Arabidopsis thaliana: one gene and its partners. The protein of the gene in region 4 interacts with the protein of the main gene of each other region in a pairwise test. Each region holds a gene or a part of one and is shown on either strand. Other genes may lie near its edges. The genes, in order: KNAT2, HSL1, KNAT6 and BLH1.

Region 1 (7,622 bases), on a different chromosome or scaffold from region 4:
AATCTCCAATTTCAGTAACATTTCTAACAACAGAAACAAATTTGTTCAAAACCACATATTGATGATATGAGATACAAAAAAGAATGACAATAAACTCCTACAAAGTTGAAGCAACCGAGTGGTACAATAATATATTAACAAAAACCTCAATACAAAGAATTGAAACCTAACAACACTAAATCACGGGAACAGTATGAACAATCCATGATGAAACATTCGAGTGGTACAATATTATCTTAGCAACATAATTATATGCACTTGATCTAATAATTTAGTCGTCACTTTTTGTTATTATTATTTTTTCTGCAAGACACACATTTTTTTTTTGCAATCATTTCTCGACGATAGTGATCATATAGATTATAGAAACTTGTGACCCCCCCCAAAAAATACAGAAAAGTTTAGAAACAATATAAATATGTGCTGTGAAGGCCACCGGTGGGGATTCAATACGATACGATCCAACGAAGTGAAATGAGAGAGAAGGAAAGTTCTGTCGTTTTTATAAGGTTTGATACTAAAACAAAGCTTTATGTCAGTTAAATTTCACACCAAAGTAGTCCGACGGATGTGTCAATCAAACCTGTCCATCATCAAAAAGACCTTTATGACATTTGTTTTTATTTTTTTTTGCGGAAAAAACGATATGGATCATCGGATCGGGTCTGGAGTAGACCCATGCAAAAATATAGTTTTTTTTCTTACAACAGGGTTTATAGATGGATTTTGGTTTATGACAAAAACTGCAGGTTCTGTTACTATATAAGGTAATGAAACATTTTGAGTTGATATTATACGCGACTAACAGATTCTCTATGAAAATAACAAGAAGTGCGATAAGTGGAGTGGCCACTATAAAAAATAGTTCCTAAGAGTGTGTTTAATTAGCAAATGACTGAAAGCAATTAAAAAACAAAAATTGTTTACTATGTTGTGATTGATAATGAGCACCTAGCTACCATAGACGTGTTTTACAGAGAAACAAAACTAGGTGAAAATTGAAAGAGTGAAATTGAAGTTGAACCGATCCGGTTAGACAACTAGAATCGTAGTAGCCTAGTAGGTGTCGGCCACCGTAATTGAAACAAAAAGCTTATTAATTAACAAAATTACCATCATTTGTTTTTACTGTCAAAATTCAAATTACCATCGTCTAACCTGTTTTTGTTAACAAGTACTAATTGTTGTCTTCATTAGCTAAGTCATAAATTCTAAAGGTTAGCGTGCTATTTTGATCATTTGTGCGATAATATTATATATCAAAAATAATCGTAACCATGTAATCGTACAGTTAAAAAAAGTGCTCTTGAATCACGAAGAAATCTTTTTATAATCACTCGAATCGTATTCCTTAACACATATGGCAAACCCTTGAAATCTTTCTTCTTTTATACTAGTACGACAAAATAAAATAAAAATTATGGTGTCTTTAAGAAAAACTTGTAAATTATCATAATAAACTATGAAAATTCATATTCGTGATTTTTTTTTTTTTTTGCTTTTCGTCACAAATCATTTTTTTTTTTTTTTGGTTTTTTGCTGAAATATTTACGATCATTGCCCTCAGACTACTATACTACGAGACCGCCTCAACTTGGCCAGTCTATCTATTTCCATTGTCTCTATCTCTCTCTCTCTTTGAAGCAGTTTGTTACTTCTTACTTTTGTGTTTCTTCATATTCTTCAGAAGCAAGCACAAGGCTAGGGATCGAAGAAGCGGCGATCACTGATCGTATCTCACTACGATCACATTAATGGATAGAATGTGTGGTTTCCGCTCGACGGAAGACTATTCGGAGAAAGCGACGTTGATGATGCCGTCCGATTATCAGTCTTTGATTTGTTCAACCACCGGAGACAATCAAAGACTGTTTGGATCCGACGAACTCGCTACCGCTTTGTCCTCGGAGTTGCTTCCGCGTATTCGAAAAGCTGAGGATAATTTCTCTCTTAGTGTCATCAAATCCAAAATCGCTTCTCATCCTTTGTATCCTCGCTTACTCCAAACCTACATCGATTGCCAAAAGGTGATCTCGCTGCTTTCGTGTTTTGTCTTTTCTTTTTCTTGTTGTGTATGATTTTGTGCTTTCAAGGTTAATTTGATTAAGCGTCAGGAATTTTACATGTATTCATCGTCGTATTTAAAGATAGTTCTCTTACTTTTTTTTTTCTATTCCACTTTAACCCTAAGATAAGATTGGAGAACTAGAGAGACTGTGTTTATATGTGAGAGTGATTTTTTTTTTTTTTTGGTTATTGATTGACAGGTGGGAGCGCCTATGGAAATAGCGTGTATATTGGAAGAGATTCAGCGAGAGAACCATGTGTACAAGAGAGATGTTGCTCCATTATCTTGCTTTGGAGCTGATCCTGAGCTTGATGAATTCATGGTTTCTCACTTTGTTCGTTGCCTTGAACTTTGATCTTCTAGTTTTTCTTAAAATATAATTTTGTTTTTTTGTGGTGTGATTCTAGGAAACCTACTGTGATATATTGGTTAAATACAAAACCGATCTTGCGAGGCCGTTCGACGAGGCTACAACTTTCATAAACAAGATTGAAATGCAGCTTCAGAACTTGTGCACTGGTCCAGCGTCTGCTACAGCTCTTTCAGGTCAGCACTAAAGTGATATCTATCTCTTGTTCGAGTGTACTTTTGATTTCTTGTTTCCTAGCTAGTGTTTTTATTGATCTTTGAGCACTATCCTCGGTTTGTGTGTCCTTTAAAATCCTTGCGCAAATTTCTCCTTACAGTTACAGATCTTGCGGATTAGAAAATCTATCCTCAGATAACTTTTCCTTTCTGTGCTTCAATGATCAGTTTCTTGGAATTGATGGAAAAATTGGAAATCTTCTACTGTTTTTTTTTTCCTTAAAGAAAACGAGAATCGATAAGTTGTTGTAGCTGAAACTAGGAGGAGCTTAGTAGATCCGGTTTAGACAACCCAAGGCAATAAAAGTCAGAAAAAAACAAGGAAACTCTAAAACCCTAGTTTTGTTAGAAAACAATGATTGATTCAGCCACATCTTTTATATTTGGTAGAAGTCATTCATGCTTTAGATAGATCCATGACCTTCACACATCTTTGTGACATTTATTTTCTATCATTAGCTATGGTTTAAGCTGTGGGGCGGATATTAGGGGAAAGCCGGTGGGTAGGATTTTCTCTGTTAGTGATATTTATTTTCCTAGTGATTTTGGTATGGTATACTTTTCTTTTGTTACTTTTATATATACTTGTATTATTATCTTCTCCTCTGTCAGAAGAAAATATGGGTCTATGAAAGCAAAAACTTTTGCGCTAGAGATTCTGATTTTGACGTTTCAGTGTCGTACTGGAAGTTTTTTAATTGCTTATTTCCAGTGAAAATTCAATCATAGAGAAAAAACCTAGTCATAACTTCCACTAATAAATGCCACTGATTTTTCTTGAGTTTGTCCTTGGCTTCATGTTTAGATCTCTAGTAGTATCGCTTGTTTTCATCTTCATTAAGAGACTGATGGGTAAAACAAAACTTTACTAGTTCTTGATTACTCCAACTTCTCTTGGTGAATGAACCAAAGTTTATACTACTTTTCCATAGAAAGTGTCAGACTTAAGTTTTATCCATGTCACTTTAGTTTTTACTATTAGAGAGATAAAAATTTATTGTGTATAATGAGTATAACATAAGATTGATTTGTTTTCTTAGTGTATGTGAAAATTAATGACACTAGCCCTTATTTTTGAATACATTGTATTTGCACCTAAGGGTCTTACATTTGAAGTCCACTGTGTTCAAATTACATGTACAAAATCATTGGTGTGATTAATTTTCACGAACCTATCTGACTTAGTAAACCAAAGAAGTGTCTTGATCAGGTCAAATAGTTGGATTTTGTGTTTCTTTAGCTCGAAAAAGCTAAACCAAATCTCTGTTGGATTTCAGTTAATCTGAGCTCATGCGCATGTAAGTCCATAAAAATGCTTGATGGCCAAGAGGCTTGTATATTCTGCATGTCGTGGTTAATGTGTCTGTTATTCTTGTATTCTTGTTGGAATTTTATGTGAATAAATAAATGATTGAAATGCATTAAGACACTTACACAATGTAAGTGAGGTTTACTAATTTGCCGAGGTATTAAACTAAACTTAATGGTACCTTCTTTTCCACCATTTGTTTTCTTAATTAAGCAGAATAGAACTTTGTAAGTATTTTACAAGCAGCCCAAATAAGGAATAGTAGGTTTCTTAAAAGAATGTAATTTTAGTTGTCTTTGTGTTGTTTTTGTAGCTTATATTGGTTAAACCTTTCCAACAGGGCAAAAATTAGTTTCTTGTTAATCTACACTAATCTACTTAGCCACGTTCATGTTGTCAGAATACGTGTGTATATTTTTTATAAGTAAAGTATTTCACTATCTTAGGGATTTTAAAGTAATCATTTTACTTCTTCATCTCCACCTGATAAGAACTAGCTGGAAAAAAATTGGAACTACAATATAGTGGAATTCAGCTTTAATAGTCTTCTTTTTCTTATATGTTGATATCAAATGCTGCTTCGGTTGTACTTTGTTAGCATTGTTTAATTCCGAAAAGTTGTTAATACTTATCAGCGTACTTAATTAATTGGAGTTTACATAGGGAATAATCTTGTCCAAAAGGTTGAAAAACAGATCACTTGCAGCTTGAATTTATCTTTATTGGACGAATGTTTAGTTTTTTAATGGTTTTGAAGTACCACTTACCTTTTTAGCGTAATCTCATGTATGATTTTGAAGGAATATATATTACCTTATGAACATCTTTTCCTTGGTCAATACCTTTTTCTGTTTCTTAAGTCCCGAGAAAGGACTTTCTTTTCAACTGAATATCTTAAACTAATAGTATAACTCATAATATGTAGTTTTCAGAGTCATGTGCTTTTGGTTTCTTTTCGTGCTAATATGCTTTAGGAATAAACCAAATCCTCTTTAGTCAACTGATGTTTGTCATAGCAATTGTGTTTACTTATTTTTTTCGTTCTCGCTTTAGTGTGCAATTGACCCTTTTCGTGATTAAGATGGTCAATCTTGGCCATGGTTTTTGTTCCATCCTCATATTTTCTTCTAATCATTTGGTGTTCGGATGGTGTATTGATACAATGAGATCCATGTGCGATTTTGTATCCATATGTGGAATTTAGGACTATTGTTTAAGATTATTCACTACAGTCTACAACTAGTATTTTTGTGTTGTAAAATGCATTCACCCTAGGTCCCTATGCATTCACCCTAGATATATCTTTGGCTGTGAATGATATTCTATTCATTCAATGTTCGTAGGAAACTCGAAAAGCATGTTCTTTTGAACAAAATACTCTGTCATGGCACATTAGTTACTTCACCAGTTCTAGACATGATAATACTGATAATCTGTTTGGTTATATCACCTTCGTTGATAGAATGGTCCTTTTGACACGCACAAAAAAACACACCCAAATGCTTGAATTAGAAATCTTTTAGCCCTTTTTAATTTCTAAATAGAAGAAGTTGGAGACAGAAGCATGAGGTGGTCAAGTGTCACATGGACTCCCGTGGATTACGTTGGTGGATCCCTTTATGACCCAATCGCAACACTCTCTTTTTAAGATTTGATTTGATTTTAAAGAAAAAGAAAGAGAAGAAAATAGGGGAGAGACATGGGTTTTGATTTATGTACAATGCAATCATCTTACGACTAATGTTTCTCCACATCTTTTTCTACTGTTGCTTAGTGGTTGTCATTTCCTCTCTGCGTTTGTTCCCTTAATGGGCCATGCAATTTCCACGTGTTTAACTTTTTTTGGGAGATGTACAAGTCTATCTACTTTTTTTTTATCAGTGCATGTTGTCTCTTTCGCATTGTCTTGATGTTATATAGGAACCAAATTCGGCTAATAGGTAAAGAACAAACCGAGTTACTATTGCACATACCATCCTCAACTAGCAAAGTTTTCATGGATAGGGTGTGAACTATATTTTGTGTGATTTGTCTAAGGATCAGCTCATTAGTGGTGTAGCAAACTACAACCTAAACTCTTTAGGGAGACTTTGAAACGATGTCTTTCTGTAATCACTAAGTTGAGAATACTAAGTGAAATTTCTATTAATGCAAATAATTTGACCATTAATCATGTTTAAACTCCCTTAATTAGGCTCCCTTTTAGTCGCAGTAACATAGGGGTCAGTATGGTATGGTCATAAATGGGGCATTATGAGAAAGTTCATAAATGTTGGGGAAGCGTTTTTTCCGGGGGTCACTCAAACAAGTGTCAGAAAGGTGATACGTGTCGTGACTCAGGTGGCTAGTGGTAAGTCCCAAAGGAGCACGTCAGTGGCAATGGAAGCTAAACTATTCAGTGACTGCGAAAGTTTTTGACTGATCATTTTTGTGCCCGGGTCTTGTAAAACCTCGATATTATCTCGCTATCCTTGTTTTTCCCCTTTTACCCCTTTCTTTCACCCTTTTTTTTTTTTTTTTTTCCTTTCTTTCACCCTTGTTCTCTTCTCTATGCTTTTTTGGCTCTTTTCTTCTTTTAGCTGCTTTAGCCACTTAGTCATTTAGCCGAGCCTACTAGTATCTTAGTGTTAGCTATGTTTGTTAGTGTTGGCATAGTGGTAGAATTTGCTTTCTACATTGTCAAATATGCTACCATAAATAGCACCACCATACATTCTCCTAGTACATTTTATCGGTATGGCACGTATTTGGCTAATACGTGGGAGCTAATCATTATTGAATCTTCTGTATGACATTATTCTCATGTATGAGCAGATGATGGTGCGGTTTCATCTGACGAGGAACTGAGAGAAGATGATGACATAGCAGCGGATGACAGCCAACAAAGAAGCAATGACCGCGATCTGAAGGACCAGCTACTACGCAAATTTGGTAGCCATATCAGTTCATTGAAACTCGAGTTCTCTAAAAAGAAGAAGAAAGGGAAGCTACCAAGAGAAGCAAGACAAGCGTTGCTCGATTGGTGGAATGTTCATAATAAATGGCCTTACCCTACTGTAAGTGTCTTTCTGATTCCACCGTAACCTAGCATACACTCATTAATTTATTTCTTCGACATATTAATATCCGCCTCTCGAATGTGTATAGGAAGGCGACAAAATATCTCTGGCTGAAGAAACAGGTTTGGATCAAAAACAAATCAACAATTGGTTTATAAACCAAAGGAAACGCCATTGGAAGCCTTCGGAGAACATGCCGTTTGATATGATGGACGATTCTAATGAAACATTCTTTACCGAGTAATGAAAAGAGAGACATGAAATTGTGCATTGTATAATTTTTACACTGTTTTTCCAAGAAAAGAAAACAGTAAAAAGCTTTTGGTAAATGGGGCATCATCGCGAATGAATGGAACCCGTTAGCCAAAACGGTCAAGGGCGTAACGAGACATTGTATTGGAAATAGTGGCAATATTATGTCACTAATCTTCCAATCATCCAAATTGATAGATTTCTTATTTGTATTGAACCTTACTTAGATAGCTGATGTGTCAACTAAATAATTTATTTTCATTATCCATTCGGGTAGAAGAATTCATTATCCATTCGAATTTTGTGACTATTTGGCTCGGTTTCGGAGCCGGATTTTTCGGATCGGTTT
Region 2 (7,723 bases), on a different chromosome or scaffold from region 4:
TCATACCATAAGTTTATCACCAAATCAAAATAATAGGATCTCGCGTAACCAATTTCTCTAATTTAAGTAAATCATAAATTTCATAAACAAACTTGAAAATAATAAAAATTATGTACAGGTTCGAATTTTGAAACTTAAGATTGCGATAGATAGGCGTACAAATTTGAAGCTCCACCTCCAGAACCGATTCTCTTCTTAGAAGCTTCATCCATTTCCATATTAGATATAACTATTAAGTTAGTGTCCTATGTATTTTCAAAAACCTCATCAAATCTATTTGTCTCTCTCTCTCAAGCCTCAACTCACCACACACCAAACCAAAACACCAGAAACAAAAAGAAAAGCAAACTACAAATTCCTCATTTCTTCGATCGACAATTGGTAGAATGGTCGTAACCACTCAACCAATTTGAGACGAAACCGAAGACATTTTTTGTGTAAATAAGAAACACATACCACTGAAGAATAAATACTCATGGAGAATTCCAAAGCTGTTTAGTTCACAGGATCATGAGCTCCATTTGTTGTGTCTTTCTCAGTTTCTTGTGCGGCTGAGGACGAACCGTGTTCTGTGCTGACCATATCACTGCTTTGCTGTTCTCCTGCTGTATTGGAAATAGCCTTTTGTTTCAGATATGCTTCCAGAGGAAACGCTGCAGCTTGGAGAAGCCTCATCATGCTTACTCGGGAAGCCCCCGGGTCTGAGTTCAAGTCGATGTTTTCCCCTGCGGCTAGTTCAACCGCTGGAATGCTCTCCACTTCTGTCTCGTCCCTGCACTCTGACTGTGACTGCGCCTGCTGGCTTGCCTGTCCTGCCTCTCCTTTGTTCCGCTTCCGCAGCATGAGCGTCCTGAATCGTCTCTTCACTGCCTCGCACACAGTGCAAGTGCATGACGGCTTGTGTTTGCCTTTTCCGCTCGGTGGTTGGCTGCAGACGATGCACGAACACCCTGCCCGGTGTCTTGGATGCTTGGTCGTGGCTGCAACCGTGATTTCCCCCTGTTCACCGGTTGTGGTGATGCCTGCATTTCCTAAACTATTCAGAGCAGATGCATCCTGCGACTGGTTTAGCTTTTCGTTTGATGATGCCAGTCTCCTCCTTTTGAACTCTGTTGAGACGAAAGTTTCGTTATGTAAAGAAGGAAGTTTCTAATTATACAGACCAATAATAGCTGCGGATTTTACCTTTGCTCTGCCGGACAAGTGTATCCTGTTCTCTTGGAGAGAGTTCATCAGGTGCGGAACATGAAGACCTGACGATATAAACAGCAACTCAAATTATTCAGATGGCCAGTCTCAGTGAGTCAAAAATCTATAATTATCCCATATGTGTAGTCTAAGTTATTTCGGAAAAAAATGCGCAATGTTCTGTGGTAACTAGCCTAGGTTAAACACATGAACATGCAACCTCGTTTACCTGCCAGGATCCAAGAGATTATCAGAGCACGACCACTTTGGTGGAAGAAGAATATCCACCGGCAGCTGTCGCCATTTCCCACAAGCATCACACTGCACCCATTGCTCTTGTTCCCTGAGAATTCATGGATCACATATCAGAACCAAATAATCAGATGTTCATTACTTCAAATCTTTCGATCATTCCAAGGGTGCTTAATTCTTCTGATCCTATCATTACATAGTACATGAGGCCTCACCCTGTTTGACGTGAGACAAAAAGGGTCCTCTTCCCGAAAACTGGTGGTTCCTGGGTAGCAGCAAATACATGATTTCAGAAAATACAGTGAAAAGTTCCCAGCTGTTTTTGATAACTAAACAGTTAACAGTAACTCACGTCATATTCTTCAAAATCTTGATTTTCCAGCGTAAAGATGCTGGGTTTGGTGGATTGGGGAGGCCGCAACAGCTCCTGTGCCTCCTCCCAAGTTATTTTCAGTTCCAGAACATCTACGCTATCAATGAGCAGACGCTTGCTCTTAGTCCCAATGTTCCGAACCCGTTTCCTAGCAGAAGTTAAGGACGACTGAAGAAATAAGTTATCCTTTGCCATGTCCTCAGACTTCTCTAGTTTAGACCAATTGATGTCACCACATCCCGGATTCAAGCTGTTGGAAAACATGTTCAGATTGGGTTCACTGCTTCCCTTGAACATCTGAAGAAACACGGAAAAATATTTCACTGAAAGAATCAGTACGAGAGCACCAGAAAAGGATTCTTTAATTCAATACACTTCACAGTGGCAGTTACTTATGCCTAAGGGGGCAACTCTCAGCTTATTATGCATTTACCTGTGTCGCTGTAGAGTTCGTCGCTTTACGGTATCCCATTACGAGTTTTCCTTCAGGTTCTGTACGGCTGAATGTTACTGCAGAGAACATGGAAAATCCAAGACATCAGACCTAATAGAAAAGTACGGTCATCTCTTCGTGGAATGTATTTCACTGTCCTCATGATTGGAACGCTTTAGTGCCAATGTTTCATTTATCCATACCAGGGTGGGTTTATCAATATGTTATGAATGTAGTTAACGAAACAAAAGGATTTGAAAAGTACCAGTGTCACCAGCTTGCAACTGCATGGACTGTATGCAAGGAGTCACACCCTCCAAAACGTACATCCTGCTGTTATTATTAGGCCAAAACCTGAACTGGAACACCCATTCTTTCCCTTTTATGTCTTGTATCTTTAACGGGAGACCCTCGGGTAGAGATATAGGGGGGAAATATGCCTACATAGAAGCATAGACGGTTATAGCTGATACCTGGCATTTAGATAGCAATAGTTTGGGAATATCAAATAAGCGTACAGAGAAACAAGTTACCTCTGCACATGCTTTCGGAAGAACCAGTCGACCAATACGACCCGCATCGCTCGCACTCAGAACTTTTTCAAAGAGTGGTATAATTTTGGAATTTGAGCTAGGAAAATAAACAGTCAAGGACTCCTTAGCACAGAAAAATAGTGCATAATGGTAGAATAAAAGCAGAAACACGATATTATAACATACAGATGAGGATACTGTCCAGATAATTGCAGCAGCTCTTGGTCAGTAATCCTAGGCCAGTAACGGGGAAGCAATTGGGTCTTCCCGCGACCTTCTGGAGGAGGCCGAGCGACATGAATCTGTGACACCAGGCTCCCACTAGGCTCCATGCCAGCAGCAATGGGAGCTGAATTTGCAGGTTTTGGAAGCAGCTGCCTGGACCGAGGGGCCAGTTGGAAAATCGAATTAGTCTTACTTCTGTCATCAACAGCAGCATCATGAAATGGGCTTGTCATAAGCGTAGGTCCAAGTGAAATGCTCAAGTTTGGCTGTGCAGACAATTCTTTCCTTTCAGTTTTGTGTCTAAGAGCATCTAGGCTGGAAGGAAGCAGCGATTCTTCTTGTTTCATTTGAAGAGAAGAATGAGTGGGGTCGATTCTTTGAAAGTGAAGCAAGTGCTTGAGATTTGTCCTCTCAAGAACACTGCCTACATGCTCTGCTGAAGCAAATGAGGGGAAGTCCTTACCGTTAGATTCATGGCTCACATTCATCTGTAAGAGAGATTACATGAGTATAGTGACAGAGAAACCAAGACCAAGGAAGCATCCCTTGCAAGAAGTTAACTCATGGAGAGGAAATTGTCTTACAGAAATTAGTCCGGATTTCTTGGCGCAACTTATACAGGTAACACCACCATTCTCTAGAAGCTCCATCATAAATCTAGAAGCAATGCATCCACAGTGAAGACGCTGAAAAAAACGTAAATACGTATTAAGGAAAACAATTGAAATACGTTGAGTGCAAAAACATGTGTAGTAAGCCATGGATTTTCGTCACCTTGTCACATGAATTACACTCTCTCCAACCAGATTCCTTGGCATGGAACACTTCACAGAATATGGATTGCTCGTATGCACACCTATCAAAAACCAACATTCACAGAGTTTACTAATAAGTAATCATGAAATATAGATTCCCTTCACGTACCCACTCTTGTTCTAATTGTAAGCAAACCCACAGCACTAATCTATCGCAGAAGTGTTGCGAATATCGAACTGGTCGCAAAAGTATTCAAATTAGACACAAGAGTGAAGGCCCTTACCCACACTTATCGCAGAGAGAAGCTAAATCACCGGATCGCATAGGCCAGCCTTTTTTCCACTCGCCCGACGTAGAGGCCGCTCCGCACAGTGCGTTCATGCAAACCTTTATTGACTCCATAATTGACCAATTGAGCGGCTCGATTCAACTGTCAATAACTTCAAATGAAGCAAGAGCCTTATCGTATTCTCCGCACGATGGTGCTTTAATCCACCGCAACTTTCCTCTTTAATAAAGGCACAAGCATTAAAAATATGCAATGATTAAGAAAACTAATTGGTATCAGAAAAGTTAAACACTTACCAGAAAAGGCAGAAGAAGATGTCAAATATATTGTCGAGAAACTCAATACGCTCCTTCTGTGAAAGACTATATACAAATAAAAACATATAAGATGACGATATATAGAAGAAGATACCAACTGTTATAAAGTAATCAAAATCCGTAAATGAATGAATAGTTAAGGACATTTGATATTGACATCTAAAGATAAGATATCATTGCATCCTAAGGAAAAAAAAACGAAATTAAAGTTCACAAGAGACAAAGAAAATCAACAGACCTTTCGAAGAAACTTGTCCAAAAAAGAGAAACCACGAGTCACTTCCATCTCCTCAGTTTTCAACCAAACCAATTCTAAGCTTAGACATGTCCACACGAAACTTCTCAGTGGTGCAGTGGAGATGGAGCCTCTTAAATAATTGTGCCACTGTGATAAAAACGCACCATCGAAAAGTTGACTGATGAATGTATGGAAGTCCAAGAAGTCTACAATAGTGATAATGAGAATAATATCTTGACTGTGAAAAAGGATGAATTGATTCTGTAGACAAAACTAAGTGCAAACCTTAAATAGTCAAATTATTCAATTGAACGGAAATGATCCATCACCTATCTGAGCTACAGTAGGCTAACAACGATTCCACTACCTAGGCACAATTTCAAGGAAGATATAATTCTTATTAAACCGCTAAATAATCCAAAAACTTGCGAGTCAGCAAGATCTAATCTGAGGATACACATAACTTTTAATGCTATTGAAAGAAGAATATAGACTTGAAGAAAAAAATGTAATAAGCAGCTACATTAAGTAAACAAGTAAACTAAATGTAATACCTTAACAGAGATGACAGAAATGTATGCAGGTTTGTCTCCAGTAACAGGAGAAGATATTTGGCTGCAATTGGAAAATACAAAAATTAGGTGAATAACATGACATATTTGGCTGCAATTGGAAATTCATAAAGAACCAAGGACGACACTTTCTTAAGAAGCAATAAAATGATATATAAATCGAACTAGTTTCATTCTTCTTCAAATCTTTCAACTTTGGTTGACCCAAAAAACCACTGATTTCCAAGTAAAGCTTATAACTTTGTAAAAACACTGATGTAAAGGTTCAATTTTTACAATCCTAATTCCGAAATCTACGGTCTTTGAACAAAAAAAAACATGCATAAATCACCAAGTTTCTGAACACTAATGGCCGAGCAAGTAAATTTATCAGAGCATAATCACCGGAGAGGGTTAACCCTTACCTTGGTTTGTGTGGAGAGAGAGCCGATTGATTCGATCGGAAGAGAAGGGATAGTTTTCGACGGAGAAGTGAAGTTAAAAACCAAGTCAAAGTCGTCTTTACGTCGACCAAGTGAAGAAGATTTGAGCCAATTCAATTGCAGCAACAAGAGGTAGTGGCAAAGAGATTTAGAAATAACGAAGGAGTTGATGAATTGGTTTCTAAATAAAGAAGAAGAAGCCACAATGACTTAGAGCGAAAATCTCCATTACCAACAACAACAAAGGGCTCGTGGAGAAGACAACAAATCTGGAGCGTTAGATTACAAAAAAAAAAAAAATGAAACACAAAGAAACTGCTGACGTCAGCCTGACCTAAAACCCAGTATGCTTTATTTATTTATTATGGATGAGAGAATAATGTAAAGTTTACTCAAAGTGTGACATTTTATGTAATAAGATATTAATTAAAGTGCACGCAAAAGGTCATCTCTGTTTCGACCTCACCTAAGGTTTGCTTCTAGATTTATATACGTCTAAATTAGTATTTTGATTTCGATAATAATATTATTTAGTAAAGCATTGAATTTGAGAATGATGAAGTGGCTTGGTTTCTAGGGTTATAAGACAGGAACCCACGACGACCATCACCAACACATCAGCAGATCAGCTACTAGGTCCAACTCCAACTCTTTATTTTTGTTGGTTCAACAATTTACTGCAAAAGACTTAAAAAAATGTAGCCCAAATAATCATGTCAGGATAATGGACCGAAGATTGGTTGATGGGCCGTTTTAGATCAAAAAAATCATTCCACCTTTGGAAAAGATCTCTTTAGCATATTACTTTAAGGTTTGTTGCAAATGAAAAATAGTTGGAAAATATTTTAGACCCTTAAAAGTCTTATCCGATAGGTAAAGTATTTAAATCAGTTCATGGGTTGAGTTTCATAATTGAAACTAGGCATAGATTGGCCCTTTCCTTTCTCTTTAATAAATACTCGATTCATCCCTTTCTACTGTCTGTCTCAATATCTGTACATACCATTCATTGTAGCAATCACTATACGTACATGTTAATGTCTATGAAGTATGAACAATAATAAGAATTGGGTAAGAGAGTTATATATGTTGTTGATAAACAACAGTGAATTCAAAACTATATAATTTAGAGAGGGTTTGTATATCCCTTTTTTTCCTCTGTATGAGTAATGTGAGAACCAATTATTCGTTTATAGATGAATAATAAATTATCTTTCTGTTTATCGTACCGAGTTACCTACCATATTGCTTAGACTGGAAATGCTTTGTTGGTAAAAAGACATGATTGGTTGAAAAATAGATAAAAGCATGAATGGGATTCAAAAACTAACGATAATTAGGAAACTGGATTACCATGGTTGGTAGGCTAAACCCTAGCTATTCTAATCGCTATTACATTCTCACCTACTTTGCATAGTCATTAAATTTGCATATCCACGAATTCGTACTAATAGTTTCGCAGAAAATACACATGCAATCTTATGAATATTGCTTGATTTATTTAAGAAACAAACTTGTATGCAATTATTGGTATATAAATCAGTTATAACCGAGCCATTTGTCAATATGACTTTGACACATGGGTAAGTCTAAACAACTAATTCATACTCTAGTTATCAATTGTCTCTTGTAAATAATTTAGTACGTATTTTTTTAGTTAGTCTTATAGATGAGTAAATCACCCTTTTTAAAATTATTAGATTTTCGGTTAAATGTTTTGGATTCTAAACTCAAAATTAATTAGCAATATGTGATGAAAACCCTTGTAGTTATGTAATTGCATGAAACAAAAATGATTTCAAATGTTATTCATATGTACTAGATCTTCAAACATTAACACATGAACTAACATTTTGGAATTACATCGATATTCATTTAATTGGATCCAAAAGGTTTCAACTTCTCGTTCTGTTATTAGTTTTTGTTTCCTCTTTTTTGTTTTCTATTTATTTTCACATGTTCTAGCTTCTTAATTCTAAGCTAACTTGAGTAGCCTAATAAACTTGTGTCACATGATGAGGACATTTCTCAAATGGAACATTCAGACATTTACACTCCCATACGTTGATATCATGTTATTTGCTATATTAGTCTAATATTGTTGCCTTTCAGATTTCACATATGA
Region 3 (7,552 bases), on a different chromosome or scaffold from region 4:
GTTCGTTCGAGCATTTTACTACCGTTCTCCGTCGCGATCGGGAATTTACCGGGTGCTTTCCGGTGAAAGTCACAGGAGAGACGATACCGAGTAGAGCCGCCATTTTTTGGCCGTTGGTTCACACGATCATGTTGTTTTGTTCCGATTACTCGGATTGGATAAAAGTCTGGTTTCAGTTTAATATTGGGCCGATTTTAGGCCCAATAAGGATAATTTGAAACCCACCCCAAAATTTAAACAGAGATGGTTGGATTATGGGCACAAGGTTCCAATTGCTAGATAGCTAAACTTTTGGCTACAATTAGCAAAATGTACATGATGATTAAACTGTCAATAAAAGAATGTGTTTAATTTAGTGTGATTTACACAAATAACAAGATATTTTATAATTATTTTTGAAAAACACATAGTTAATAAACAAATCTAACCTATCTAAGTATTTTGTTTGTTCAACGTTTTGCCAATAAGAGGGTAAAAGCTATATCACGAGAGGTCCGGAGAAGACAAAAGAGGTTATTTTTATTCACCGATAATAATAGTTACAAAGCATTTTGACTTGTTCCTTCTACTACATGTGAGTGAGTGTAAGATCCATTTCATGTGTCGTCCATGCTTCACTCTTTCTTTCTTTTTTTCCTTTGTCGGCAAAGCAAGGCAGAATTATACATCCATCTTTTAATCAACGTTAAATAAGTACCATAAATAAATTCATTCCTCGGTAAAGAATGATCCACTAGAATCATCCATCATAGCGAAAGGCATATTCTCTGATGGCTTCCAATGACGTTTCCTTTGGTTTATAAACCAATTGTTGATTTGTTTTTGGTCTAACCCCGTTGCATCAGCTAATGCTATCTTATCTCCTTCCTGTGTACACACACATTCATACCACCCATTTATATATAAGTGTAGTGGTTAGTTATGTCGGAAAACATGCAAGTGTTGCTTTTGCTTACAGTAGGGTAAGGCCACTTATAATGGAGATTCCACCAATCAAGAAGAGCTTGTCTTGCTTCTCTTGGTAACTTTCCTTTCTTCTTCTTCTTTGAGAACTCAAGCTTTAAAGTACTAATACGGCTTCCAAATTTGCGTAGCAACCTATCTTTGAGGTCCCGGTCTTCACATCTTTGTCTCCCATCCTCTGCTACCTCATGATCACCTCCACTCAGTTCCTCGTCAGATGATATTACACCATCCTCTGTTACACCAAATTCACAAGAATTATCACTATACAAAGACATCAAAGACAGAGAATGGTTATAGGTTATAGCAAGTAAATGTAACAGAATTATCACTATTCACTACCATGAAAAAGTTTAAATGGGCTTTCTCGGCTAAAACGGCTAAGTGGCTAAAGAGGGCAAAAAAGGGAAAGAAGAAAGAGTGGTAAGGGGTAGAGAATATCGAGGACGCACACGATTGAGTGCAGCAGTCAAAAAACCGCCGCAGTGAATAGTTACCTCCATTGTCATTTGTCAGGAGAGGACTAATAGTCTTGTCCCCATGAGGAGACATCCCCCCTTAGGCCTACTAATTACCCAATCTCAATATGACACGTGTAAATACCATTTAGAGGTTGTGTGAACCCCCGGAAATAACGCTACACCTCTCATTTATGTTCTCCACGATACCCCAAAACTCAATTTCCTTTTCTCTCTCTCTTTCTTTAATGTATTTGGACATTTATATATATGCCCCAACGACTCTACTGACCCACTTACCCAGCTTCTCTGACACCAAAACTCAACCCAAAGACGATTCAAGAACATTACCTGATTTTACAATAGTTTTGCCTATGTGACAGAATATATAGTCGGACCAAGCAACCGTGCTTAGTCAAAATATTTAGTCAGTCACACAAAATACTGGACTACATAATATATACACGCAATTTCAGTCAGTTTATAAACATATATTAAAAAAAGTTAAAAGATTTCTACAACAGCCAAGGTAATTTCAGTCAATTTATAATTCACGCAATTCAGTCAGTTTTATAAACATATTATAAAAGTTAAAAGATTTCTACAGCAGCCACAGTAATTATGAAGGAAATAGAGATGTTAAATAGGCCAATAAAAATATACTAAAATGCATAAAACATGAACTGATCATATATTATAGAGACCATTACGTTCACATTACACACATATGAGTAGTTAGGGTAACAGTTTAATGGCAAAAAACGATAGTTTGTATGGTTGGGATTATTATTTACATTTTCAGCAATGCATTGACTGCTTTGAAAATAGGGTTCACTGAAGAAGGTAACATGCAAGTAGACACGTGCTAGTAGCGTGCCTCAGAGAGACATAATACGACCCACCAAGGGAACAACGCAACCAGAGGGCATGGCAAAAGAGTTGAGAAAGATAGAGAAGAAGCATAGTCGCAGTCTTATAGATGATTTGATTGTGGTGTGTAGAGAACCCTATGTCTCCTTTTTTTTTTAATAACCAAATCAAAAATAAAATCTTAGGAGAGAAAGTTGGTGGGGTCATTAGCGGAATCCACGGGAGTCCATGTGACTTTTCCACCTTTTACTTTATAACAAAAACCAAAAGAACCTCTAATTCAAGCTAATCATGCACTATGTTCCTATTCTTCTCGTTGCAGTATTCTTATCTTCTAGATCAAATATGCAAACATGTAACATTGATGATATTGCATGCAACAAGACAAATGTTGACTATAAAAGTCAATAAGAGACCATCCACTCTAAGTAGCAAGATAACCACGCATTAGAAGAAAAGAATGTGTTGCTTTTTTAGCTAGTCCAAAGAAGGGCTTTCGCTAAGTTGCATTACCGTATCACAACAACCAAGAAGTGAGAAATCAAAAGTCTATGTGATCAACTTGTATTACTAAATCAGATCAACATGAAAGAAACCAAGCATGTGATTGAACTGAGAAACTAGTAGATAACATCGCATCCCATGTGAATATTGTCTAACAATTGTAAGCTTCTTTTTTCTTTATTAGTTTATGATTTCATTCAGGTGAAAGAAAAAGATGGTTAAATAAAGCACACAACCAAAGAAAAAAAAAACAGATGAGATCATTCAAAAAGGCAAGTTGTACTTTGAACAAATTTTAAAATTATTAATCATAAACATTCGTCCATTATGGAAAACCTGCATCGATCTATTTTCAACTTTTCCAGTTGATACTCTATGCTAACTCTCGATTAGTTTATAAAGATAAGCTGATATGTTTTTATATATCAGCAGCTTTTTTCCCCCAATAAACAATATTACCAAAGTACAAGTGGAACCTGCATTTGAGATCGACCACGATAATGGAAAACTCCTGCAAAGCTGAAAAAAAGTCTACCAATCTATGGAGTTTCATTTCTTTACAGCTAACTCTTTCAGCTGGAGTTTTTCTTCTATTTTATTGTATTAAAAAAAAAACTCCTAAGGATCAGTATTTCTAGCTAACCTGATCGGTTGATTTGTTATGGCCACAATGTTTTTGCTAGTTGTAGTACAATATGTGGTCTAAAGAGATAATATCAGTAAACCACAAAGAAAGTCACTTATTTGAAGCATTTCATTCATGTATAAGCATAAAACCTAGACTTTTAAATCGCTTCAAAATTGAGTCAGTTTTGGTTTATTACTTACATATAAGTCCAACAAGACTCCAACAAGAACATGCAGATAAGAGTGGCCACTTGGCAATGATACTATTTCCGATGATCAACAAAAATCTCCCTACTCTTGTTCTCAGATCATTGAAACTTGAAATAGACCAAAGTTACGTTCTTCATAATAAATGTCGAATTCAGGATTAAATTTTTATTTCACAAAGAATGTCGTTTTGTAGACTTCTATATTAAATTTAAAATACAATTTTAACTTTATTGTTTTAACCTATTTAATTAGATAGAAAAATTATATGGTGTGTTATTAAGATATAACAGAAATTTAATCGTAAAATTATCTAAACACGCTTATTAATTCCGATCCAGAGAATCTGTGAATGAGCTTAAAGAGGAATTACAGCTAATAACTCTTATGGCTTATTGGTTATTAATAATCATCTGACCAAAAGAAGTTGAAGTCTTAGAAAAACTGGTAACCTAATAAGGTTGTTACCCATAAACAAGAGTGAAGCGACTTATGAGTTATGACTAGTACTTATACTTACTTATTGTTAAACGAGAAGTGAAGCAAAAGAAGCTCATGAAAAATCAACTACACATATTGTTAAAAAGTTATGACTAGGTTTTTCTGTCAATTGGTTTTTCACTAGAAAAAAGCAACAAGTTGAAAAAACATTCAGTACGCAACAAGCCTCTGAAACGTCAAAATCAGAATCTCTACCACAAAAGTTTATTGCTTTCTACACCATTTTCTTTCTGACAGAGAAAGAAGAGAAAAAGATATAAAGTAAAATTTGTATGATTAGCACAAAGATCAACAACAAGAAGAAGAGGAAATCCCCACCACACTCCAACACCCTAATCCCATGGCTAAAACATTAAATGAACGAGTAAAATAATTGCACAACACCTTAAACAGATCTTTGTCTCCAGAGTTTCAACGTGCCCAAAAGAAAAGCACACACAAAACAAAACCCATCAAGGGAAAAATAGCTATGGAAATGAAACTTGTAGCTAGGGTTTATCTTCTTTTTTTTCATTTTTTATCTATTTTGCTTTCTGATCACTTCAAAAGCCTAGGGTTATTCTATCAACAAGCTACCAATCATTTTTCAGAAACTGGTCATATGAATCAAAACCCTATGGAAATATCGAGGAAAGGATATTATTAATGAAAAACCACGGAAAAGATCAAAAGAAATCATTCAGAACTAACCACAAAATAGAACCACTAAAAGACCGAACCAGAGAGGGATAATTTAAGACATACCAGAAACTCCCCTGGCAGACTCGACACCAGTACATAGGTTCCGTAGCTGCATCTCAATCTTGTTCAAGAAACACGTTGCCTCGTCAAACGGTCTTGCTAGATCCGATTTGTATTTCACTAATATATCGCAGTACGTTTCCTGATAATAAATTATCTTCTTAAGTACAAAAATTTCCAAAAAAAAATATTTTAACAAAAATAAAAATCCGAAAAAAAATCGAGGGAAAAAAAGAGAGAGACCATAAATTCATCAAGCTCAGGATCAGCTCCAAAGCAAGAAGAAGGAACAACCTCTTGCTTATAAACATCACTCTCCCGTTGAATCTCCTCTAGTAAACACGCTATCTCCGGTGGTGCTCCGACCTGTTTCTAAATTATGAAATTGTTAAACCATAAAATTATAAAAAAAACAATCAAATATCAAAGCTTCTCAATCTTATCTTTATCTTTAAAAAGTAAAACCTAGATTTTATCTAAGTGATAAAAAAAGAAAGAGTTAACGATCACCTTTTGGCAATCGATGTAAGCTTGAAGTAAGCGAGGATACGAAGGATGACAAGCGATTTTAGCTTTGATGACAGTTAGAGAAACGTTATCATCATTTCTTCGGATCTCCGGAGCGATCGAAGCCGCCTCCGACGACAAAGCGGAGACGGCTACTGAGAGTAGCTCGTCGGATCCGAAAACATCAGAGACACGATTTTCACCGGCGGAGGAACATAGCAAAGCTTGGTAATCGGAAGGAAACATGAGACTCTCCGGTGACATCATCAGAACCGACTTATCTGAATAATCACCGGCCGAATGGAAATTGTACATTCCATCCATAAGTATAAGATCTCCGGTAAGAACTCCTCCGTCTTCTAAATCGCTTTCTTGAATTGTCTTCTTGCAAAATCAAGAATCGATGAAGAAGAATAATATGAAACCGCTTATAACAAACTTTTTGGTTCTTGAAAATATTTATTTCTATGGGAGTGTGTAGAGAGAGAGAGAGGCTCGAGGGATCTTAATTTATTTTCTTTTGGAAGAAAAAAGATATGAAAGTTAACGGAGAAGAAAAATAAAATGATAATTACGAAAAAGGACATATGCTAAAAGGCTCAATGGAGCTTCAGGCTTCATAGGTCGAGATAAGGCCTTCCTAACATATATATCTAAGAAAGGTCCAAGGCTGTGTTATGATAGAATTTGCATGATCATGAGATTTTTAATATCAATGAAACATGGCGAGAAACAAAATTATATATTATTGAAAACGAAATGGAAAAAACGGAAAAAGTGTGATTATTTACCAGCATACTATGTCAGTTTATTTGAACTCTTTTTTTTCTCATCGACAATACACTTAGATGGTAACATAACTACTAGTACATATAACCACTAAACTACACGCAACTTATTTGAAAGCTCTGTGTAATTTTCTTTTCAAAAAGTATAGTTGATGACTTGATGTATATATTATAGGACCTATAGAAACAAATTGAGCATCTAACATAATGATTTGTATCAGTATCGGCATTGTATCGTTATCTTCATTCAAATATGATAATATGCATGTGTGAGCTGTAGACAGTTAAAAAAATAATCCCCAATGTATATATATTTTCGAAAAACTTTGTAGAAAATATATTTTTATTATGATCCTAAGAACATATATAGATACACCTACATAAATCGTTTATTTGATTGCAAATAGTGAAACAAGGTGAAAATGTTAAACAACAAGTGGAAAACCGAACAGAAGAAAGAAAACAAATGAAGTCGCATATCAGAAGATAATATAGTACTAATGATATTGAATCGAGTCAATTAGAAATAGATATTAGTTCAGTATATGAGAGATGTTTTGGGTATGTTGAATCGAATATATCAAACTGGAAAAACAAGAACTGGTTACAAACAACTAGTGAGCTGATACATACATATATATAGTTAAAGAGCGGTATTATTTTAATACTTGTCACTGTAAATTTGTTGCTAGATACAGAACAAAATTATCGAACACGACTACTAACAAAATGATAATCAACACATATATATTCAAATGATGGTATGAAATAAATCAAATGTGAAGAATATATGGATATGATAAGTGATTCTTAGTACCTACTACGTAGTAAGAAATTTTTTACCAACTCGGATGTTGGACACTTCGATTGTACGGGATGAAATGGGTTTCGAGAAGCGAAGGTCCGTTCCTAGATAGTAGATAAGAAGGCCCTAATGGAAAATCGTCTAATTAAGATTAAATTAGTATATAGTATCAGCTAGTGTTTACTTTAGAATAGTTCTGTATAAAGCAAGTTTGTGGATAAAACTAAGAATAAAATAAACGCTGGTCTAGGCGTATAGGAGCTGCAAAATCAATGGTCTTAGCTAATTTATGATTTATGAAATTTATGCCAAAATTGATGATGCTGATATTCATGATGACTTTAGCTTATGAAAATGAACTATGTAATTTATTCACAAAAATAGACATAAGCATAATTTGGTATATTTAATGATTTTACATATGTATTAAGTTTGAAATTATGAAATTGGCCGTAATTTAAAGAGAGTATCAAGAAAAAAACGAGCACTTTAACCAAAAAGAAAATAGAACGAGAGCATCTATAATATTTCGAATGGAACTATTCTTTTAGTTTTGTCGACAGCTTTTTACGTCTATCATA
Region 4 (6,161 bases):
TTTGGCTCCGATAGTCGCAACATATTTCATGTGTTTCACTAAATTTCATTATTTATTAATATCTATAGAAAGGTATTTGGGCCCAAAAAAAGTTATGGGCCGAAAATGAGTAAAATATATATTAAATATTCGCATATGTTTTTGTAAACTTTTTTCTTACAAACCTCTCCGAAATTAGTCTCACACTCTCACGCAGTCTTCATATAAATATTCTGTCAATGTCTTTAATAACAGAAAAAAAAAATTGTTACTGTTATTGTAAGTTTATCTCTCAGCAGGTGACGCTATTCTACAAAATGATTTGAACATTTTCATTTTTATATATCTTGAAAAGAAAATTTATAACAAGTTTTATAAACGTTAATCTTAATTGATTTAAAAAAAAAAACTATACACAAAGTTTGAAATCTGAATTCAATTCAACAGTTCGTAAGATCTTATTTCAGAGATTGCTTTCTTTGTTTTTTTTTATATTTGTATTGTGAATGTGTAGAATTTTATTTAATATGCTTTTAACACATAAACACTCCTCAAAAAATATTATAAGTTTCCAGCCGCTTAAGCATACATGTCATATTCGGAATCTATACAGCTTAGATCTAATCTGTAATCATCATTCCATATTTGATAGATCAGTTCACTATCTTATTAATTATTACATTGTAATAAAAGTAAAAATATATTTTGGTATACACCCAATGCAAGCTATTACACGTAACTAATCCATATACATATATAACCCTATCCATCCCCCAATAGAAACGAAAAAAAAAAATTACAAAATCGATATACAACCGTCGGCCATATATAACCAAAGACTAAAATTAAATTTTGTTCTTTGTTTTGGTTCAATGGTATGAGAAACTATATACTAATTAAAAACTAGAAACGTATATAATAACCTGTTTCGGTTTCTCCTTCTAGAGAGATGGGTTTATGCAACGAAGTCGGGCAATAACTGAGCCACATATCTCTTCTGGTTCTGTATGTTCATCCCATTGTAAGCCGCGGCAGCTGCCGCTGATGAATGTGCGGTTGTGGTCGAGCTACCACCATTGATGGTGGCGGGTCCATATTCCTCTGTTTCTCCTATTTTCACTCTTCTCCCTATAGGAATCCCATGGTGGGTCTGCATGAAACCCTGATGGTGCGTGGACGACAAGCTATCACAATGAGGTAAACCTAACGTGAGGGACACGCCATTGTTGTTTCCTGAGTACCTTTGCGCCATGAGCTCCTGGTCTGAGACTACATCAAATCTTGACATCTCATCCATTTGGTATTGCCCGAAATTACCCATGAAAGGGTAGCCACCATCTGATCTTATCCCTTGCCGTTCTTCTAGAATCTTCATCGTGAGCTTCTCGTTGGAGCTGAAATCCGCATTTATTGGCTGCATCATTGTCTCGTCGCTGGTTCTTAGTCTCTTGGGGCTTCCTTGCATTCCAGTGACGCCTTCTAGGTCACCGTTGTGATTGGGATTCATATGGTAATTAGTGTCCGCCATTGGGCTCTTTTCTTGGTTACTTGTTGACTTTGAAGCAGAATCTTCGTTGCTTTGATCCAAAGGAGTCTTTTCCATGGATCCCATGTTCTTTGCCTGCTCCTTCATTTCCTCCATGTACATCTCCTCCACCATTGGTTTCCATAACCGAACTCTCGCGTTTATAAACCAGTTCGACACCTAAATAATTAAAGAAAATAAATTTACTTAAAAACGCTTTCTTAAGTAACCTAATAACACAAGAAAGAATCATTTTGAAACGTACCTGGCTACGAGTGAGTCCTGTTTGCTTAGCTAGCATGTGCTTGTCCGAATCCTTAGGGTATCTAATTAAAAGAAAGACAACTTAGAGACTGAGTTTGTGTTCCAGTGATGAAAAGTAGTGCATGTGTGTATAGTGGGTTACTTACGGATGAAGAAAGTGTTCGAAGAGCCAAGCACGGAGAACTGAGACGGCTCGTTCTGGGAGACCACGTTGAGGTCTCCAAGCATTATTGGAAGGATGTTGAATCATTCCCAGTTGTTGAAGAGCTCTTTGCTGTCTCAAGTGGTGGTCCACGAACTTGAGCCTCGACCCCTCAAACCTCCCAACACCAGACACTGAATCTTCCTCCCCAAGACTCTTGTTGGCCGCTTTTATCTGACCAGCGATCGCCTCTTTCAAGCAACGGAACTGTCTTGATATGGTTTTCAATGCTAGCGACGTGTATGACTTCGCTGATCCTATCCCTGCCGCTTGCTCGAACGAAGAGATCACCATCTGCATCTGCTGGTGGTACTGTCTATATCTCTGCTCCACCTTTTCATTTTTCAACCAACAAAGTAACGTGAGTCTTATGAACATAAGTGTACGGTCTACATAAATATAATCTATAAAAGTTGTTAGTCTTTACTAAGAGAGGGACAAAAAAAAAAAGATTTCATCAATCTTGTAAGTTGTCAATTTGAGAAATCGGAAGAGCAAAAAAAAAAAAGGATAGCTTAATATACATATAAAATGAATTGTGAAAATGACTGAAAATCTTAGGGACAGAACTTTTAAGTCCACTTCATGTGTGATATAAGAGAGCACTCAGTATATGTAGGCTTATTGTATATAATACGTATTGTTGTTACCTCATGAAGCATGTTACTAAGTTTTGCTTTCTTCATCTGTATTTCTTGTCTCTCTGCCGTGCCTAGCTCCACCGGACGTTTCCCGGCTGCTTCTGCTCCGCCACCGGAACCTTCTCCTCCAGCGCCGGCCGATGATTCTCCGACAGGTTTATCATTTCCGCAACTACCCTTTTTCGATGAGAATAGTTGGGATTTAGCGTTCATGTCATCGGAATCAGCGTTGACTACTTCGTCAAGAAGCTCTTGTGCTGCCTTCAAGTACTTGGAGCTAACAAGATTAGCTATACCGTTTGTTACCCCCGATCCTGTAGAGCCAGACCCGACCCGGATATCTTCTCCATGTCCGGACCCGAATCCGACGTGAATAGGCTGGTGTTGTTGATGATGTTGCTGTTGCTGCTGCTGTTGAGACGAGAGGGTTAAAGAGAGGCCTTGCTGCGCGCGTGGCGTCTCACACGCGGCTTGCTGGTGAGTGGGATCCACTTGGTGGCTACCGTAGAGACTGTACTGCACGCGCGGAGGATAACCGTGAAGTACGGAGATGTTGTCGGCGGCTGTAATGGAAGCAGCTTCGTGACCTGAGAGTGGTATTCCGACGAACTGCTGGCTCGCGTTTGGCTGCGGCGCGTGGGAATCGAGGAAAACGAAACTACTGTTGTTGTTGTTTGTGTTTGTGTTTGTGTTGTTGTTGTTGCTATTGTTGCTGTTGTTGTTGTTGTTCGAGTCGTTGTCTTGTTGGGTGTACTGAACGTAAGTAGTTGGATTCATGAGGATCAACGTTTGAAGACCACCGTCGGATCCGGCAGAGATCTCCGGTGGGTTTCCGTGAAAGTAAGCAGCCATCTATGTATAATTAGTAGTTGTTACACACGAATGAAACGACGTCGTTTTCTTTGATTCTCTTTCAATTCTTGACCTTCTTTCACCAAGCTGATTGATATCATAGAAAAACAAACAAAAGTATGAAAAAGGAGCAAAAACAAAACCACTATAAGTTTAATATAGATCTGTATATATATACAGTTGAAGCGAAGAAAAAAAGAATCGTGATCACATCAAGAAGACGAAGAAGAAGGGATGAATTATGGATTATGAGAAAGAGAGATTGAAGGATATGGAAATTAAGACATAATCATGATTGAAAATAAAATAATAAAATAATAGAGTTAGAAATTGAAAGAAAAAATGAATATTATAAAAGATGAAGAACCTGGATTGATAGAGATCTGAGGATGCACGTGTTTCATGATCATCTCAAGCTGCAAAAGGAAAGTTACATTAGAGAATTTCTATCAAAGAGAAAGAGAGAGAGACAGACACACACACATACACACGAATATACACTTATATATATATATTTATATGCATACCTGTGTTTGTGGAGATGTGTGTGATTGCTATGTGAGTTTGGTCTCTGTGTCAGACTCAAAGATCTCTGCAACTCTTTTCTTGCTCAAAGGGGAAATATAAAATACATTTAAAAAGCTGAGAAATAATATATAACAAAATAAAAATGACTAATATATATTGAAAGAGAGAGAGGATAAAGAAAGGAGAGATAAAAGATACCCATCTTTTCCTTCACTCATTAATCTTCCCACAGTCCTTAGTACGCCACCATTTTTCATCACTTTCTTTCTATTTTATTTTATTTTAGTGTTGTGGTCGGTATATCTTATAACCAAAGTGGATTTTTTGTTAAATGGGACAATAACCAATGTTTAGGACATGAAATATTCACTAATGTAACTTAATTTTACATTCATATATTGATATATACTTGTATCCGCAAAACAATTTGTGTGTGTGTGTGTGTTTACGTTCACCACCAGCTAATATTACTTATCTTTTTAATTTAATATGCTAAATAGACATTCCAACCATGTTGGAATTTGTTTTCAAAATTGATATTAAACTCTACACTTAGATATAGCTTTATGTAATCATTTAAATTAGTGTACTCTAGAGCAATTGGTTCAACAGTTTTTTTAAATAGAAAAAGATTAATGAATAAATTAAGAAAAAGACATAGCATTCTTTCATACTGCATGTTCAAAAAACCTTTACTTCATGTTATTATCACTATATAGCATGGTGATAAATAAGTTACAAAGTACATATATATCATAGGGAGCTAAAATTCATAAAACTAAGTGAGAAAATGTGCATATAATTGTTTGTTGTTGAAATTCTAGTTTGACATCCAGTACAAGAGATAATATTAAATTCGAAATATTTCAACTTCATAGACATATGTATACATTATTTGGTAATATATATGTGATACGTATCTTATTATAAATTTAGAATTGGTATACTTGAAAAACAGAGGAACTTGTATGATATGACTTTGGCCTTTTCATGTATTGACCAGGTAATGAACCCACATATCATAACAACCAAACACCCTTTATTTAGTTATTTATAGACGATATAATTTCATAGATGAAGTAAATGTTATCACATCAAGACATAGTGATATGTATGTCGTGTCCAATTTAGAATCATATCATTTTCTTTTAAAACATTATATTTGTATTTATTTAATAAAAAGAAATCCCACACGCATCTCAATCCAAATCTTTCTTTATTGATATAACTACAATCCTGAACATAAAGTATTCTTCGGATTACTATTCTTGCAGACTTTTATCATCTAGCAAGTTCAGAGTGTACACTGAGGATGGCAACGAACTTTGAACTGATTATGATTTATAAGTAATAAAATTAGTAATGTTTACGTTACCAAGTTCTTTTCATTTTTTCTTTTTTCAACTGTTTTTTTCTTTAATTTCATTTCATTATTTTCCTCAGCAGATTAACTAAGATACTTTATTTACAAAGTTTTATATTACCACATACACATAAAAACTTAAAACGCATCAACACTTTATTCTAGAAAATGAATAGATTTCATTTTTGAAAGTCCTACCGTTAGTTTATATTTTTCTTCCAAACACTCAAATAGGTTAAGAGTATAATATTTTAAATATACATAATGGGATTAGAGAAATTGAAAACTTATACGGAAAAGTGAATTGTGTCAGAAGATCCAAACAGCACAAAAACGAGGAAACGTCTCCTTCTGCAGAAACCTAAAATATTTAATCACACAAAAATCTAAATTATTGAGAAAGAGAGGAGAGAGGAAGAAAGAAGATGATAACGATAATGATAATGAAGCATGATGGGGAAAGAGTGGGTCCCGTTAAATGTATATTTACTTTTATTTCTTTATTTCATATATTCTTTTAGTTTACCACGTATGTCTATTTTTAAAGGGTATTTGACTAAAAGTATTTTATTTAAAATATAATTAGAAATATAGTAGATAATTTTAGTTGATTAATTGCAAAGAGTGTTTAAGTTCATGAGAAAGTCTTTTTTAGTAACTTGTATTTATTTTATTTATACGATATAGATAATTATAATTTGTATGTAGAACAACAAAAACATATGTGGACAAATTTGCTTATCTTTTTGAATCGTTTACCGTCCACATAAACAAACTACCAGTTATGTAAAATAAATCATCCATAGC

What was found.
Region 1: the proteins of BLH1 (region 4) and KNAT2 interact in binary tests that used the Arabidopsis thaliana proteins (3 or more experiments, as listed by UniProt).
Region 2: the proteins of BLH1 (region 4) and HSL1 interact in binary tests that used the Arabidopsis thaliana proteins (3 or more experiments, as listed by UniProt).
Region 3: the proteins of BLH1 (region 4) and KNAT6 interact in binary tests that used the Arabidopsis thaliana proteins (3 or more experiments, as listed by UniProt).

What each region holds. Positions count from the first base shown.
Region 1 is NC_003070.9:26,574,881-26,582,502, forward strand, and holds KNAT2 (homeobox knotted-like protein), read left to right. Parts: upstream 1-1,605; 5' UTR 1,606-1,754; coding exon 1,755-2,027; intron 2,028-2,267; coding exon 2,268-2,402; intron 2,403-2,475; coding exon 2,476-2,614; intron 2,615-6,776; coding exon 6,777-7,018; intron 7,019-7,109; coding exon 7,110-7,265; 3' UTR 7,266-7,551; downstream 7,552-7,622. UniProt on the Arabidopsis thaliana protein: May play a role in meristem function, and may be involved in maintaining cells in an undifferentiated, meristematic state. Probably binds to the DNA sequence 5'-TGAC-3'.
Region 2 is NC_003075.7:15,477,670-15,485,392, reverse strand, and holds HSL1 (HSI2-like 1), read right to left. Parts: upstream 6,015-7,723; 5' UTR 5,581-6,014; intron 5,220-5,580; 5' UTR 5,159-5,219; intron 4,899-5,158; exon of another isoform or gene 4,752-4,898; 5' UTR 4,605-4,751; intron 4,412-4,604; 5' UTR 4,346-4,411; intron 4,269-4,345; 5' UTR 4,163-4,268; coding exon 4,044-4,162; intron 3,861-4,043; coding exon 3,779-3,860; intron 3,691-3,778; coding exon 3,589-3,690; intron 3,493-3,588; coding exon 2,966-3,492; intron 2,877-2,965; coding exon 2,780-2,876; intron 2,687-2,779; coding exon 2,512-2,686; intron 2,324-2,511; coding exon 2,247-2,323; intron 2,111-2,246; coding exon 1,793-2,110; intron 1,706-1,792; coding exon 1,656-1,705; intron 1,532-1,655; coding exon 1,418-1,531; intron 1,254-1,417; coding exon 1,186-1,253; intron 1,110-1,185; coding exon 496-1,109; 3' UTR 39-495; downstream 1-38. UniProt on the Arabidopsis thaliana protein: Transcriptional repressor of gene expression involved in embryonic pathways, such as LEC1, ABI3, and FUS3. Repressor of the sugar-inducible genes involved in the seed maturation program in seedlings.
Region 3 is NC_003070.9:8,296,791-8,304,342, forward strand, and holds KNAT6 (homeobox protein knotted-1-like 6), read right to left. Parts: upstream 5,811-7,552; 5' UTR 5,703-5,810; coding exon 5,382-5,702; intron 5,244-5,381; coding exon 5,115-5,243; intron 5,014-5,114; coding exon 4,875-5,013; intron 1,199-4,874; coding exon 957-1,198; intron 868-956; coding exon 709-867; 3' UTR 501-708; downstream 1-500. Other genes in the region: MENG (S-adenosyl-L-methionine-dependent methyltransferases superfamily protein), read right to left, coding at 1-103. UniProt on the Arabidopsis thaliana protein: Plays a role in meristem function. Contributes to the shoot apical meristem (SAM) maintenance and organ separation by controlling boundary establishment in embryo in a CUC1, CUC2 and STM-dependent manner.
Region 4 is NC_003071.7:15,088,237-15,094,397, forward strand, and holds BLH1 (BEL1-like homeodomain 1), read right to left. Parts: upstream 4,180-6,161; 5' UTR 3,991-4,179; intron 3,943-3,990; exon of another isoform or gene 3,880-3,942; 5' UTR 3,831-3,879; exon of another isoform or gene 3,551-3,830; 5' UTR 3,464-3,550; coding exon 2,621-3,463; exon of another isoform or gene 2,304-2,620; coding exon 1,915-2,303; intron 1,831-1,914; coding exon 1,770-1,830; intron 1,685-1,769; coding exon 935-1,684; 3' UTR 526-934; downstream 1-525.